Nothobranchius furzeri: one gene and its partners. The protein of the gene in region 1 purifies or fractionates together with the protein of each later gene. This does not show direct contact. Links are inferred from orthologs where the notes say so. Each region holds a gene or a part of one and is shown on either strand. Other genes may lie near its edges. The genes, in order: use1, scfd1 and rint1.

Evidence for each region.
Region 2: the proteins of use1 (region 1) and scfd1 purify together in Homo sapiens (affinity purification with mass spectrometry; 3 studies listed by BioGRID and IntAct, counting the BioPlex papers as one, with this or other methods). This does not show direct contact. The link is inferred for Nothobranchius furzeri from reciprocal best matches to the Homo sapiens genes USE1 and SCFD1.
Region 3: the proteins of use1 (region 1) and rint1 purify together in Homo sapiens (co-immunoprecipitation; 3 studies listed by BioGRID and IntAct, counting the BioPlex papers as one, with this or other methods). This does not show direct contact. The link is inferred for Nothobranchius furzeri from reciprocal best matches to the Homo sapiens genes USE1 and RINT1.

The regions. Positions count from the first base shown.
Region 1 is NC_091748.1:57,902,349-57,906,472, forward strand, and holds the start of use1 (vesicle transport protein USE1), read left to right. Parts: upstream 1-1,323; 5' UTR 1,324-1,379; coding exon 1,380-1,478; intron 1,479-4,124.
Region 2 is NC_091758.1:18,055,868-18,059,515, forward strand, and holds part of scfd1 (sec1 family domain-containing protein 1), read right to left. Parts: intron 2,367-3,648; coding exon 2,287-2,366; intron 200-2,286; coding exon 137-199; intron 1-136. UniProt on the Homo sapiens protein: Plays a role in SNARE-pin assembly and Golgi-to-ER retrograde transport via its interaction with COG4. Involved in vesicular transport between the endoplasmic reticulum and the Golgi.
Region 3 is NC_091741.1:64,277,980-64,282,382, forward strand, and holds the start of rint1 (RAD50-interacting protein 1), read right to left. Parts: upstream 2,834-4,403; 5' UTR 2,799-2,833; coding exon 2,589-2,798; intron 2,113-2,588; coding exon 1,987-2,112; intron 1,782-1,986; coding exon 1,666-1,781; intron 1,553-1,665; coding exon 1,379-1,552; intron 1,286-1,378; coding exon 1,148-1,285; intron 1-1,147. UniProt on the Homo sapiens protein: Involved in regulation of membrane traffic between the Golgi and the endoplasmic reticulum (ER); the function is proposed to depend on its association in the NRZ complex which is believed to play a role in SNARE assembly at the ER.

The DNA of each region.
Region 1 (4,124 bases):
TAAGGATGTTCCACAATGTTAGACAGACCATAGTTGGCAACCGATATGGGGAAGGAAAAGGATCTTTGCTTCCCAGAAGAGTGAAATAGTGTGATGCTGTGGACAAAGTATAAAAACAGATATTTCCTGAAAACTTAAGTGAGATCATTGCACTATGAAAAGATTTGTGGCCGATTTAGAGTACAGATGAGTTTGTGCAGATAAAGGGACATTGAGGAAGATTTCTGTCAAATCCATGTATCAGATCAAGAGAGCAGCTGCTAAAAGGTCATTACAGCAGCAAAAAGATATTTGAAGCTGCTGGTGCATCTGGAGTCCTCCAGAGTCTTGAGATCTGTGCATAAACCTCTTCGACCACTGCTGACTAATGTTCACAAGCAGACACGGCTGCACTGGGCAGAGAAATACATTTTCAAACAGTCATGGTGACTGATGAGTGTCGTACAAACCTTGATGACCCAAATGGATGGAGTAGTGGGTGGTTGTTGAACGGCCACTGTTTTCCAACAAGGCTGTGACATCAGCAAGGAGGAGGTGGAGTCATGTTTTGGGCTGGAATCATGGGAAGAGAGCTGTTCGGCCCCTTAGGGTCTCCAAAGGCGTAAAGATGACCTCTGCATGTATGTGGAGTTTCTGACTGACCACGTTCTTCCCTGGTACAAAAAAATGAAACCATGCTGTGATAAAATCATCTTCATGCATGACAATGCATCATCTCATGCTGCAAAGAATACCTCTGCATCAGTGGCTACTATGGGGATAAAAGAGGACACACCTCTCTCTCTCTCTCTCTCTCTCTCTCTCTCTCTCTCTCTCTCTCTCTCTCTCTCTCTCTCTCTCTCTCTCTCTCTCTCTCGAACAATAATTCACTGTCCCTTCAGCCATTCAAAATTAGATAGATATATCTACCTCGGGTTGTGCACAGATGTTAACTAACACAGTTTAAAAGCTTATTTTCAAAAAGAAAAGTTTTGTTAAAATTTTTATTTAAAAAATACTTCTTCTGGACAATCTGGTAATCTTGTGGCGGTCTAGTGGCATTACACGAAACGTCTTAAAAAACGCACCAAAATGCTAACATAATGACCACACACACACACACACACACACACACACACACACACACACACACACACACACACACACACACACACACACACACACAGGTTGTAAGAAAAACAAGCTGATTTTGGTGTGACTTGCTCTTTAAAAATTCCTCAAATTTTTCTAATATTTAATACTGATTTCTTTTGCAAATTATATTTATAAATTATAATAATTATTGACGTGTCTCACATATTTATATTGCAGCGTGGAAGGTTGAGGCACCGCCTCCTCGCTTCAGTCGTTTGACGTCAAACTGCCGCGACACTGTGAACATGGCTTCTAGGTTGGAGATAAATTTTATTAGATTGCTGTCTCGATGTGAATCCATGGCTTCGGAGAAGCGTGGGGAGACTGAATGGAGGTTAGAGAAGGTAGGAATGCCTCCAGTGAACTGTTTTAACATGAAACATGTCTGTGTGACCTTTATCTGCTCTGTTGTTGTTAGCGGTGCAGCTGTTAGCCACGTAGTCAGACAGCAGACTCGCGATTTCTTATTATTTCTAATCAGCAGAAAAAAAAAATATAATATCGAACAGTGAGCCAAGAAATTAACTATGAATATGTTCCTTGTTTATTTGACTTCCTCATGTCAAAATACTAAAACTAAAACCATCAAACAATTTATTTCTGTTGTAATAAAATAATAACTCCTCCTTGAACCGTCACCTTATCGTGGTGGAGAAGTTTGAGTGCCCTAATGATCCTAGGAGCTATGTTGTCTGGGGCACTTTGTGCCCCTGGTAGGGTCTCCCATGACAAATTGGTCTTAGGTGAAGGGTGAGACAAAGAACGGTTCACAGGATCTTTCATGGATGAACTATCAAGGGGTCGGAGTACCCGGCCCGGAGGGTTACTGGGGTCCCACCCTGGAGCCAGGCCTGGGGTTGGGGCCCGTGAGCGAGCGCCTGGTGGCCGGGCCCAGCCCGAACCCGATACATGGGCTCATCCAACTGTGGACCCACCACTCGCAGGAGGAACATGAAGGGTCCGGTGCAGTGTGGATCGGGTGGCAGGCCGAGGCGGGAGCCTTGGCGGTCCGATCCCCTGACAACAAAATTGTTTTTTGGGACATGGAACGTCACCTCGCTGGCGGGGAAGGAGCCGGAGCTTGTGGCAGAGGTTGAGCGGTACCGGCTAGATATAGTCGGACTCACCTCGACACATAGCATTGGCTCTGGAACCCAAGTCCTTGAGAGGGGTTGGACACTCTCCTTTGCTGGAGTTGCTCCGGGTGAGAGGCGGAGGGCTGGGGTTGGCTTTTTGTTAGCCCCAAGACTCTCTGCCTGTGTGTTGGGGTTTACCCCGGGGGACCAGAGGGTATCGTCCTTGCGCCTTCGGGTCGGGGAACTCGTCCTGACTGTTTGTGCTTATGCGCCAAATATCAGTTCAGATTACCCACCCTTTATGGAGTCCCTGGGATGAGTGCTAGATAGTGCTCCATCAGGGGACTCCATTGTCCTGCTGGGGGACTTCAATGCTCACGTGGGCAATGACAGCTTGACCTGGAGGGGTGTGATTGGGAGGAACGGCCCGCCTGATCTGAACTCGAGTGGTGTTTTGTTATTGAACTTCTGTGCAAGCCGCAGTTTGGCCATAACGAACACCATGTTCAAACATAAGGATGCCCACCGGTACACTTGGTACCAGGGCAGCCTAGGTCACAGGTCGATGATAGATTTTGTAGTCGTATCATCTGACCTGCGGCCGTATGTTTTGGACACCCGAGTGAAGAGAGGAGCGGAGCTGTCAAATGACCACCACCTGGTGGTGAGTTGGATCAGATGGCAGGGGAAGATGCCGCGTAGACCTGGCAGACCCAAACGCATAGTGATGGTCTGCTGGGAACGCCTGGCAGAAGAACCTGTCAAGACGGTCTTCAACTCCCACCTCCGGCAGAGCTTTGATCACGTCCCAAGAGCAGTGGGGGACATAGACTCCGAGTGGGCCTTGTTGTTTGGTGGCAGGAGAATCTCGTCTCTGCTTTTGCGGATGATGTGGTCCACCTAGCTTCATCCAGCTCTGACCTTCAGCTCTTGCTGGGTAGGTTCGCGGCCGAGTGTGAAGTGGCTGGGATGAAGATCAGCGCCTCCAAATCTGAGACCATAGTTCTAGACCAGAAAAGGTGGCTTGCCAACTCCGGGTCGGGAGAGAGGTCCTACCTCAAGTGGAGGAGTTTAAGTATCTCGGGGTCTTGTTCACGAGTGAGGGTAGGAGGGATCGGGAGATCAACAGGCGGATTGGTTCGGCATCTGCAGTGATGCGGACGCTGAGCCGATCTGTCGTGGTGAAGAGGGAGCTGAGCCAGAAAGCCAGGCTCTCGATTTACCGGTCGATCTACGTCCCAATCCTCACCTATGGTCATGAACTTTGGGTAACGACCGAAAGAACGAGATCACGAATACAAGCGGCCGAAATGAGTTTCCTCCGTAGGGTGGCCGGGCTCAGCCTTAGAGATAGGGTGAGGAGCTCGGACATGCGGGAGGAACTCGGAGTAGAACCGCTGCTCCTCCGGATCGAAAGGAGTCAGTTGAGGTGGTTTGGGCATCTGGTCAGGATGCCTCCTGGACACCTGCCTGGGGAGGTGTTTCGGGCATATCCTGCCGGCAGGATGCCCCCGGGTCGACCCAGGACACGTTGGAGAGATTACATCTCCAATCTGGTCCGGGAATGCCTTGGGGTCCTGCCGGAGGAGCTGGTGGAGGTGGCCGGGGAGAGGACAGTCTGGAGCTCCCTAGTTGGGATGCTGCCCCCGCGACCCAGACCCGGATAAGCGGAGGAAGACGACGACGAATAAAATAATAAAACCTCGGTAGATGGTCTCCTACCACTGTCCCTGTTAAAGTCTGCCTGGTCATTTTTATATATATTCTTTCAGTAATTATGTCAAAAGTTCCTATGTGCATAAAATTGTCATATTTTTTCAGGACAATCTTAGCTTTCAATATCTGTAAACATTTTTCAGTTATTGTGTTTATTACCTTTTAAACAGGATGCTTTGTATATTTATAACTACAGTA
Region 2 (3,648 bases), on another chromosome or scaffold:
AGGGGACCACGTGGACCTCCTCATCTCTGCCACATGGACCTCGAGGGATAAACCATCAACCCTGCTCAATGGTCAACTTTCCTTGCGGGGTCACAACCATTAGGAGTGTGGGAGGGTTAAATTGTTACTGCCTTACCCCATCGGTTTGACTCCACTGTTCCCGTAGTTAGCTGGGGCGGTGGCCATTTTGGTAAAAGCCCTAGAATAAAAGAAGATAGTTAAAACAATCGGCTTCACTGCTCCAGTAATTTGTCTCCTTTTATTATGCAGAGAGCTTGTTAAAGCAACACCAAAGAGCTATTGCTTTCAAACGGATTTCAGAGGTTCTTGAGGTAGAGACTTTACTAACTTCACTCTTTAGTTCGCTGCTGAACAGAAACCACACTTTACAATTTAGGAGCACGGGTGGGTGCACTTGAGGGAGGTCTCATCCTGCTTTACGGCAACAGTTGTTTACTGTAGCACATACAACTGTTATCAGCCGTAAATAAAAACTACAAGAAAAATAAGAATTTGGCTTTATGTGTTGGCATCATGGCTGAGCCTGGAAATAAAAGTAAGAGTAATGTCTCTGGTGGTGACAAAAAGAGCTAAAACCAGAGTGAACCTCGCCGCAGCCTACACCCGTTTGAGGGAGCTAAAGGAGGCTACAAAATCACAGGTGAACTGGCTTTGTTGCTACTGAACCTGTAAAAAATGATATTTTTTTGTCCACCAGTGTGGATCTTTTTACTTTGTGGCTAGCTTAGTATCAGTTAGCTCGTTGTTAGCGTTAGCTACAGGAGGCTGCGGAAAGGTGGTTTATGACAGTTGTAATTCCATTTTCAACCAGTAGGAGAGAAAAGCAGGGATACTTATTAAAAAAGCTGTTTATTAAACAGGATTTGTTATAATTATAAATAATATCCAGCCTTTTCCTGCTTATGTAAAAACGATGATGCGAGCAACATCCGGTGAGATACTGGAAGTAGCGCATAGCCACTGACTTGCATAGTGAGGTTTTGTTTCTCGCAGCAGTTTATCTGAACATTTCAAAAGGATTTCAGATGCGATTTGCCCCTGTAAAAGGAAGTGCTGTTCGCAGTGGCACTAACTATCAGAGAAAGTTAAATTTGTGGCTACAAGAGTGTTGTCTGGAACATTATCCTCAGAGAGAGTGTGCCTGCATTCCCCTTTAGCTGTGAGGACCTGGCCTTTCTGTCTGACTGCATTCTCAACCTGAAATAAAAATAATACCGTGTAGACACCGATTTGAGACCCTAAAAAGAATTTAGCTGAATTAAGCTTTTAACAAGCAGACAAAAAAATTTTAACACCGTACTTAGCCAATCGTAATACATGAACAACCTGCTGTTTGTATTTTACCTGCTGTAGAAACTAAAACCTAGCTCGGTGATGAGGGATTTAAGGCTGTCCCACCTCTTTCAACAAAACACGACCAAACAAATGACTACGTAGGTACTGATAAGCTTGGAGATTTGTAGATTGTTCGTTGCCTCGCCGTTGGACACGACAAGTAGCTAATAATGCTACTGGAGATTAGCTTTAGCCAGATTTTCATATCATCCTCCACTCCTCTACTGCAGTAGGCAGAGGGATTGTAACAGTGTCCCAAATGAGCTGTGACAGCACATAATTCATGTATTTAAAAAGACCATGAAAAGTGGATTAGTGCAAATGGAACACATCATCCATCTATGGTTGCAATGTAAACAAACACTGGACCGCAAGCAGGTTGCATTTTTCCTGCAAAGATTTGTGCAGGCTAGGGAAAAGGTGGATAAGGATGTCACATTCTGGCGTTCAACTTTGTTACAAAGATGTTTTATGTCCATGTTCTGATGTTCCATAGATGCCATGTTGCCCTTTCAACCACCAGTGTTCCCCTGCTCCCAATCACCTGGCTTAAATGAATGAGTGATTAACAGGCATCTGCAGCACTTGATGTCCTCCTGAGGGGACCATGCAAATCAGGTGTGCTGAAGCAGAGACGTGCCAATTACACACTAGCATCGGCTCCACTCTGCTCTGCTGTGTCTGCCCCAGCCTGGCCGTATTCGTTCCACACTGCCTTAGGAATGTTGACGTGACTGAGCACATGGGCAGTCTGTGATGTCATGAGCTCATCTCCGAGCATGTAGGAGAGGACAAAAGAGCGCGGAGAAGTCTGCGGTGTCTCCATTATTAAACAATACTACATCACTGTTTGAGTGCTAATGAAGCCACATGCCACTTGTAACCCCAGAGAATCTGGTGAAGCGATGATTTGATCATCTGAAAACTTACTTCCACTGTTTAATGTAGTTGAGAGATGAGAGGTCACAGCCTGCATCCACCAACGCCTTCTTATACTGCTCCAAGTCAGACTGAAACACACATCCGCAAAACAATTATTACACTTCAGTCTAAAAACAACTAAAGGTTCGGTGAGTGAGAAACACTGGAAGAGCTAATCCAACAGCCTCCATCCTAAACTCAAGCTGTTCAGAGACAGCAGACAGGCTTCTGCTCATGTTCATGTTAGAAGCTGGGATTGTTATTTTTGTTGTGAAATTATTTTCTCTGTAACATTAAAGATCAACTTTACACATACTTGTAACACATTTGCAGTGGTCTCTAGCAGGTATGAATGTTTTGTAAGTAGTTCTCTGGGGAAAACAGCTCAGAGGCTCATGTTTGAGAACGTGGAAGTCCGTCCGAAGAAGAAAATGGCAGAAGACGGCAGTCTTACGTCCTCATATTTGGCTAGCATTAACAGCAACACAGCTCTACCACTGACTTTGTTTACTCTGCAACATTGAATTGTTTTAATATATTTACAAATGACACAAGCCTGGAGCTGTTCTGCTGTGCTGTGGAGCTTCTTTACGGTTTCCTGGAAGCTAAACCAACAACAGCCTTTCCCGTCGTGAGTCAAGATGGGTAAGTAATGGGCCATTCCCATCTGTACCGGGTCGGCCCGGGCCGGGTAGCCCCAGTCGGCCCCAGCCTGGCCCGGTTGATTCCACACATCCTTGTCTTAAGCCCATGTGGGCTGATTCTACCCACCAATCAGAGGCTTGCTCTAATGGAAGGTGTGAATGGGCTGATTGTACCCACCAATCAGAGGCTTGCTCTAATGGAAGGTGTGAATGGGCTGATTGTACCCACCAATCAGAGGCTTGCTCTAATGGAAGGTGTGAATGGGCTGATTGTACCCACCAATCAGAGGCTTGCTCTAATGGAAGGTGTGAATTTGCTGTCAGCAGTGGGTGTGTCGGCCCTGGTCGGCCTGAAGCAGACTCCCTCGAGAAGAGGGCTGAGAATGAGTCTTGGTTGGCCCGGAAAAATACCAGGCCACCCAGATATGTAAACAACCTACGCTACCCGGCCCGGGCCGACCCGGTACAGATGGGAATGGCCCATTTGTGAATGTTAATTGACAGTGTGACGTAGATCTGTCAAGTTTTTCTGAACAGAGCGTTTTTCTGTCCATCTGTCAGAAGCTAATGATGGAAAAAGGGATAGAAGGCTAGTTTCACGTTCAGCCTGCCCATTAAACTCAGAGTGACTGATCATTTTCAAAAATAATGAGTAAAAATGCTTTCTCAGTGAACCTGTTCAATAATAACAGGAAACCTAAACACCGAATACACCAGACACCTTGCA
Region 3 (4,403 bases), on another chromosome or scaffold:
AGGCCACTCAGAAACAATGGTTCGAAACTGTTTTTATCATTTAAGAAATATCTCCAAACTGCGAAGGTTGGTGTCAAAACATGAACTTGTAATGGTCATCCATGCCTTTATCTCCTCCCGACTAGATTACTTTAACACACTTTTCACATGTTTTAACAAGAAAAACCTTGACCGCCTTCAGTTGGGCCAGAACTCTGCAGTGAGGCTTCTAACTGGAGCAAACACAAGAGCTCACAACCCTAATGTCTCTCCACTGGTTACCCGTTAACTTTAGAGTTCATTTTAGTATACTGACTATAACTTTCAATGCTCTACATGGTCAAGCTCCTCCCTATATTACTGAACTGTTAAAGCCTTATGCTCAAACCCGAGCCCTCAGGTCCACACACCAGAACCTTCTAGAAGTTCCAGACTGTTGCACCCCGACTCTGGAATGATCTTCCTTTATCCTTACACAGCATTGACAGTCTGGACACTTTTAAAAATCAGCTGAAGACCCTTTTATTTAAAGCTGCTTTTACCTAAATCTTTTATTTTCTTATTTTTAACTCAAATTTGTAATAATTTTTCATTTGTTTTATGGTGTTTTATTATTTTAGACTTTATTTTTCAGATTTTAATCCATTTCTGTTTTAAGATCATTATGATTTTATGACTTTATGATTTGTTTTGATCCATGTGAAGCACGTTGTGATTTTCTGTCTGAGATGAGTGCTATGTACTTAATTACAACGGCTGTGTTGGCTGAATTTGTCTTGAGAATTCTTTGAACATTTAAAAATTTCTAGGCACAGAGTCAGGCCCTGAGAATCACAAGAAGGAACCAAGAACACTTGAATGTTTGGATAACCTTCTGAAAACTCACTCTGAATGGTGATGCCAGTGTCTCGCTAACAGAGCCCAGTGAGATACTAACTAAATAAAAACTCATGAGCAAATGCAAAACTACAGATTAAAGGTTGTGTAGAGTTAGAAGCCTTGCTCTCTCACCACCAAAGACAAATGTCAGATCATTATGGTGTCCTGACATAATGCTAAACATCTCACCTGATGAAACTAAACACATTTACATGGTTAAAAAAACTGAGCACATGAATGTGTGGAGACAGTCCCCAAGATCCTATTGGATCTGTGTCCAGAAGGATACGAGGTCTGCAGGGCCAGCAGCTGAGTCACCAGCTCCTCCACATGGCTGCTGACCTCCTGACCTGCAGGAGGTGTCGCAGACTGAGATGTTGTTGAGACAATTGGCCAGTGTAGTTGAGTCAATGCGTTTTCAAAATCACTAAAGAGGTTTAAAAAGAAAGAATCAGCTTTTACAGTAGATGAAAGAAGACAAAAACATCCCAGTCTTGGTTGGGATTTGATGGAGCCATACCTGGACAGCTGTTCTTTGATGATATTGTGCCAGAAACAAAGCGTTTTCCTGAGAAACTCCACAAGGTGGGAACATCCTGACTGGTTGAGGCCAGAGTCCAGAGCCGCCATGCTCTCTACAGCTTTTATAGCTTCCCAGACACCGTTGGTCATCAGAAACTGCTGGACTGAAGCACTGTAGACACATAATATTAACATTATGCAGCAGAAATGAGGAGCAGTTTTAAACCTCAGTGATGCATCACTGTAACCTCAACCAACATGTCTCCAAGCCTCTAATCACCCTACCTGAGCTCTCCTATGTAGTGAAGGCACTTTAGATACTTCATGCTTTTCTCCATAGAGTCTACATGGTTAAATGTCTGCCCTAGGTCATCCATCAACTGCCGGGTGCCCTGCAGGTGCTGGAAGATCAGAATATTTAACAGCATCAGTAAAACATCCCTGGATTACAGTGGGGATTGTCACAGAACACCTTAAACAAGCATAGATGATTCAGCTCAGATCGTGTTTCAGATCTTGTATGGGATAGATCAAATACAACTCTGATGTTCGTTCTGCTACTTCAGATTGAAATCTGCTCTTTTGTTGAGCTTCTGCAGTTTCTACCTGCTGCAGCTGACTGGAGACAGATTGTTCTCTCTGCAGCACGTCCTCCAAGGAACACCGGACCTCCTCTGCAGCTGACAGGGATGCTGAGATTTTGGGAGGAACAGAACTGCACACACTCAGAACCTGGAAAGCAAAAACAATGCAATCCCATTCAGCCAGAACCTAAAGGACAAAACATTGTTCTAATCTTTCAGATTGCAAAAAAACACATTTTTATTTAATGTGGTTGAGTTCAGGTTGCAGAATAAATTAATAACCCGTGAGTTAGTGGCTATGAACCCTGACCTGTCAGCACAGTGGTCTTTGATTAAAATTGTATATGTATGCACAAGAGTTCCAGTTCTTTTAATGTTTAAAACTCTATCAAGTGAAATATAGATGATGAACTGTGAGGTCTTATCCACTGAAGCAGTTTTTATTTAGTTCATCTCCTTCATTGTGAAAACATTTGTTTAAATCTTATTTAATGTGCTTTAGGTTCACACCTAATCCACCAGAATGCCACCAAACAGCTGACTTTAACCACAACAGCTCGCTGTTACACACTAATTCGTTAACTTTAAAAACACCGTGTAGTAAATAAAGTTCAGGTTCGGTACCTGCTCCTCCACCAACGCCGTCTCTGTTTTCATTTTCTCCAGCAGCTCACTAACGGCTTCTAAAGACATCAGTTCGCTGCCAAACTCTTGCTCCAAAAAACCCAGTCCGTAGTCCAGCTGGGTCCCAGAACCATCACCGAAACAGTCCGGATCCTGATCCATGTCACGGACAGAATGCCGAAAAGACTCTACAGCTGGTACCGTCGCCATCTTTATTTTTGACAACACCGCCACGCTGCACAGTGAGGAACAACTCACCACTGCCCCCTGCTGTCGGGAAAGGGAAGGTACCAAAACAACACCAGACCCCTATCCTCTTGTCTAAAAACACTAGATGTTTCGGGTTCTTTAACCAAACTTTATTTACAGTGAAAACATTACAGAATTAAAGTATTTGCTTATAATGCAGTAAACAACAGACAACACAACATAAACAGTAATACCAACAATGAAAAGGTACATAAATAATAAAAATTCAAATTAATGACGCTGAGGTCACCAAGGCGATTCAAAAGCTGCTCAATGGCAATGTCTCACGATGGATAAGAATGAGATTCACCCAGAGTTCCTGGATATAGGGTTGCGTTGAAGTGGCTCTGCGATAAACCACCAAACGATTCCCGAGCACAGCTTTGTCTGCAGCTCACCACTCCCCCAGGGATGGGTGTCAAATGCAGAGAACAAATTTCACACACCAGTGTGACAACTAATGGGACTTTGATATTACATGTTTATGTTTATTCATTTAAGAGACGCTTTTATCCAAAGCGACTTACAATTTATAACCTATAGGGCATGTTGGGATCTGTTGAGGAAACCGGAGTACCTGGAGGAAACCCACGCATGCATGGGGAGAAGACGCAACTCCACGCAGAAAGGCCACAGCTGAGTTTCGAACCTGCAACCTTCATGCTGCGAGGCAACAGTGCTAACAACTGTGCCACCATGCAGCATGGACATCGGGGGCAGTCTCGTGGATTGGCAGACCAGGTCGGTGGTTCTTTCTATTTAAAAAGAGGGAGCACAGGGTGTGTTCCAACTAAAGGGGGATCACACTACTGGGCCTCCCTGGTAAAGTCTATTCAGGGGTTCTGGAGAGGAGGGTCCGTCAGATAGTTGAACTTTGGTTTCAGAAGGAACAATATGGTTTTGGTCCTGGCTGTTGAACACTGGACCAGCCCAATATGTTTTGTAGACTTGGAGAAGGTGTTCAACCGTGTCCTCCAGGGAGTCCCGTGGGGGTTACCATGAGAATATGAGGTACCAGCCCCCTTGATACGGGCCGTACGGTCCCTGTATGACCGGTGCCAGAGCTTGGTCTGCATTGCTGGCAGTAACAGCGTTCTGGGTGATAGTTGGACTCCACCAAGGCTGCCCTTTGTCACCAATTCTGTTCATAACTTTTGTGGACAGGATTTCTAGACACAGCCAAGATGTTGAGGGAATCCATTTTGGTGGCCCAAGGATCAGGGTCACTGATTTTTGCACGATGTAGTCCTGTTGGCTTCATCGGGTCGTGATCTTGAGCTTTTGCTGGAGTAGTTTGCAGTCGAATGTGAAGCAGCTATGATAAGAATCAACACCTTGACCAGTACCTTGTCTTTCAATAGGTGTTAAAACATGAACACATGGCTTCATTTTATGGTCTCATTGCTCACTTTTAAAGTTTAAATCATCTGTCCTCGTCATTTTTATCCGATCTCCTCAACAATAACACTCCCATCAACCAAGCTGTCACCTGATACCCAAGTGAAAATCCGAAGGTGATCAATTTTTTTTTTTTTTTTTTTTTTTTTTTGCTGTTGCTGCTTCAAA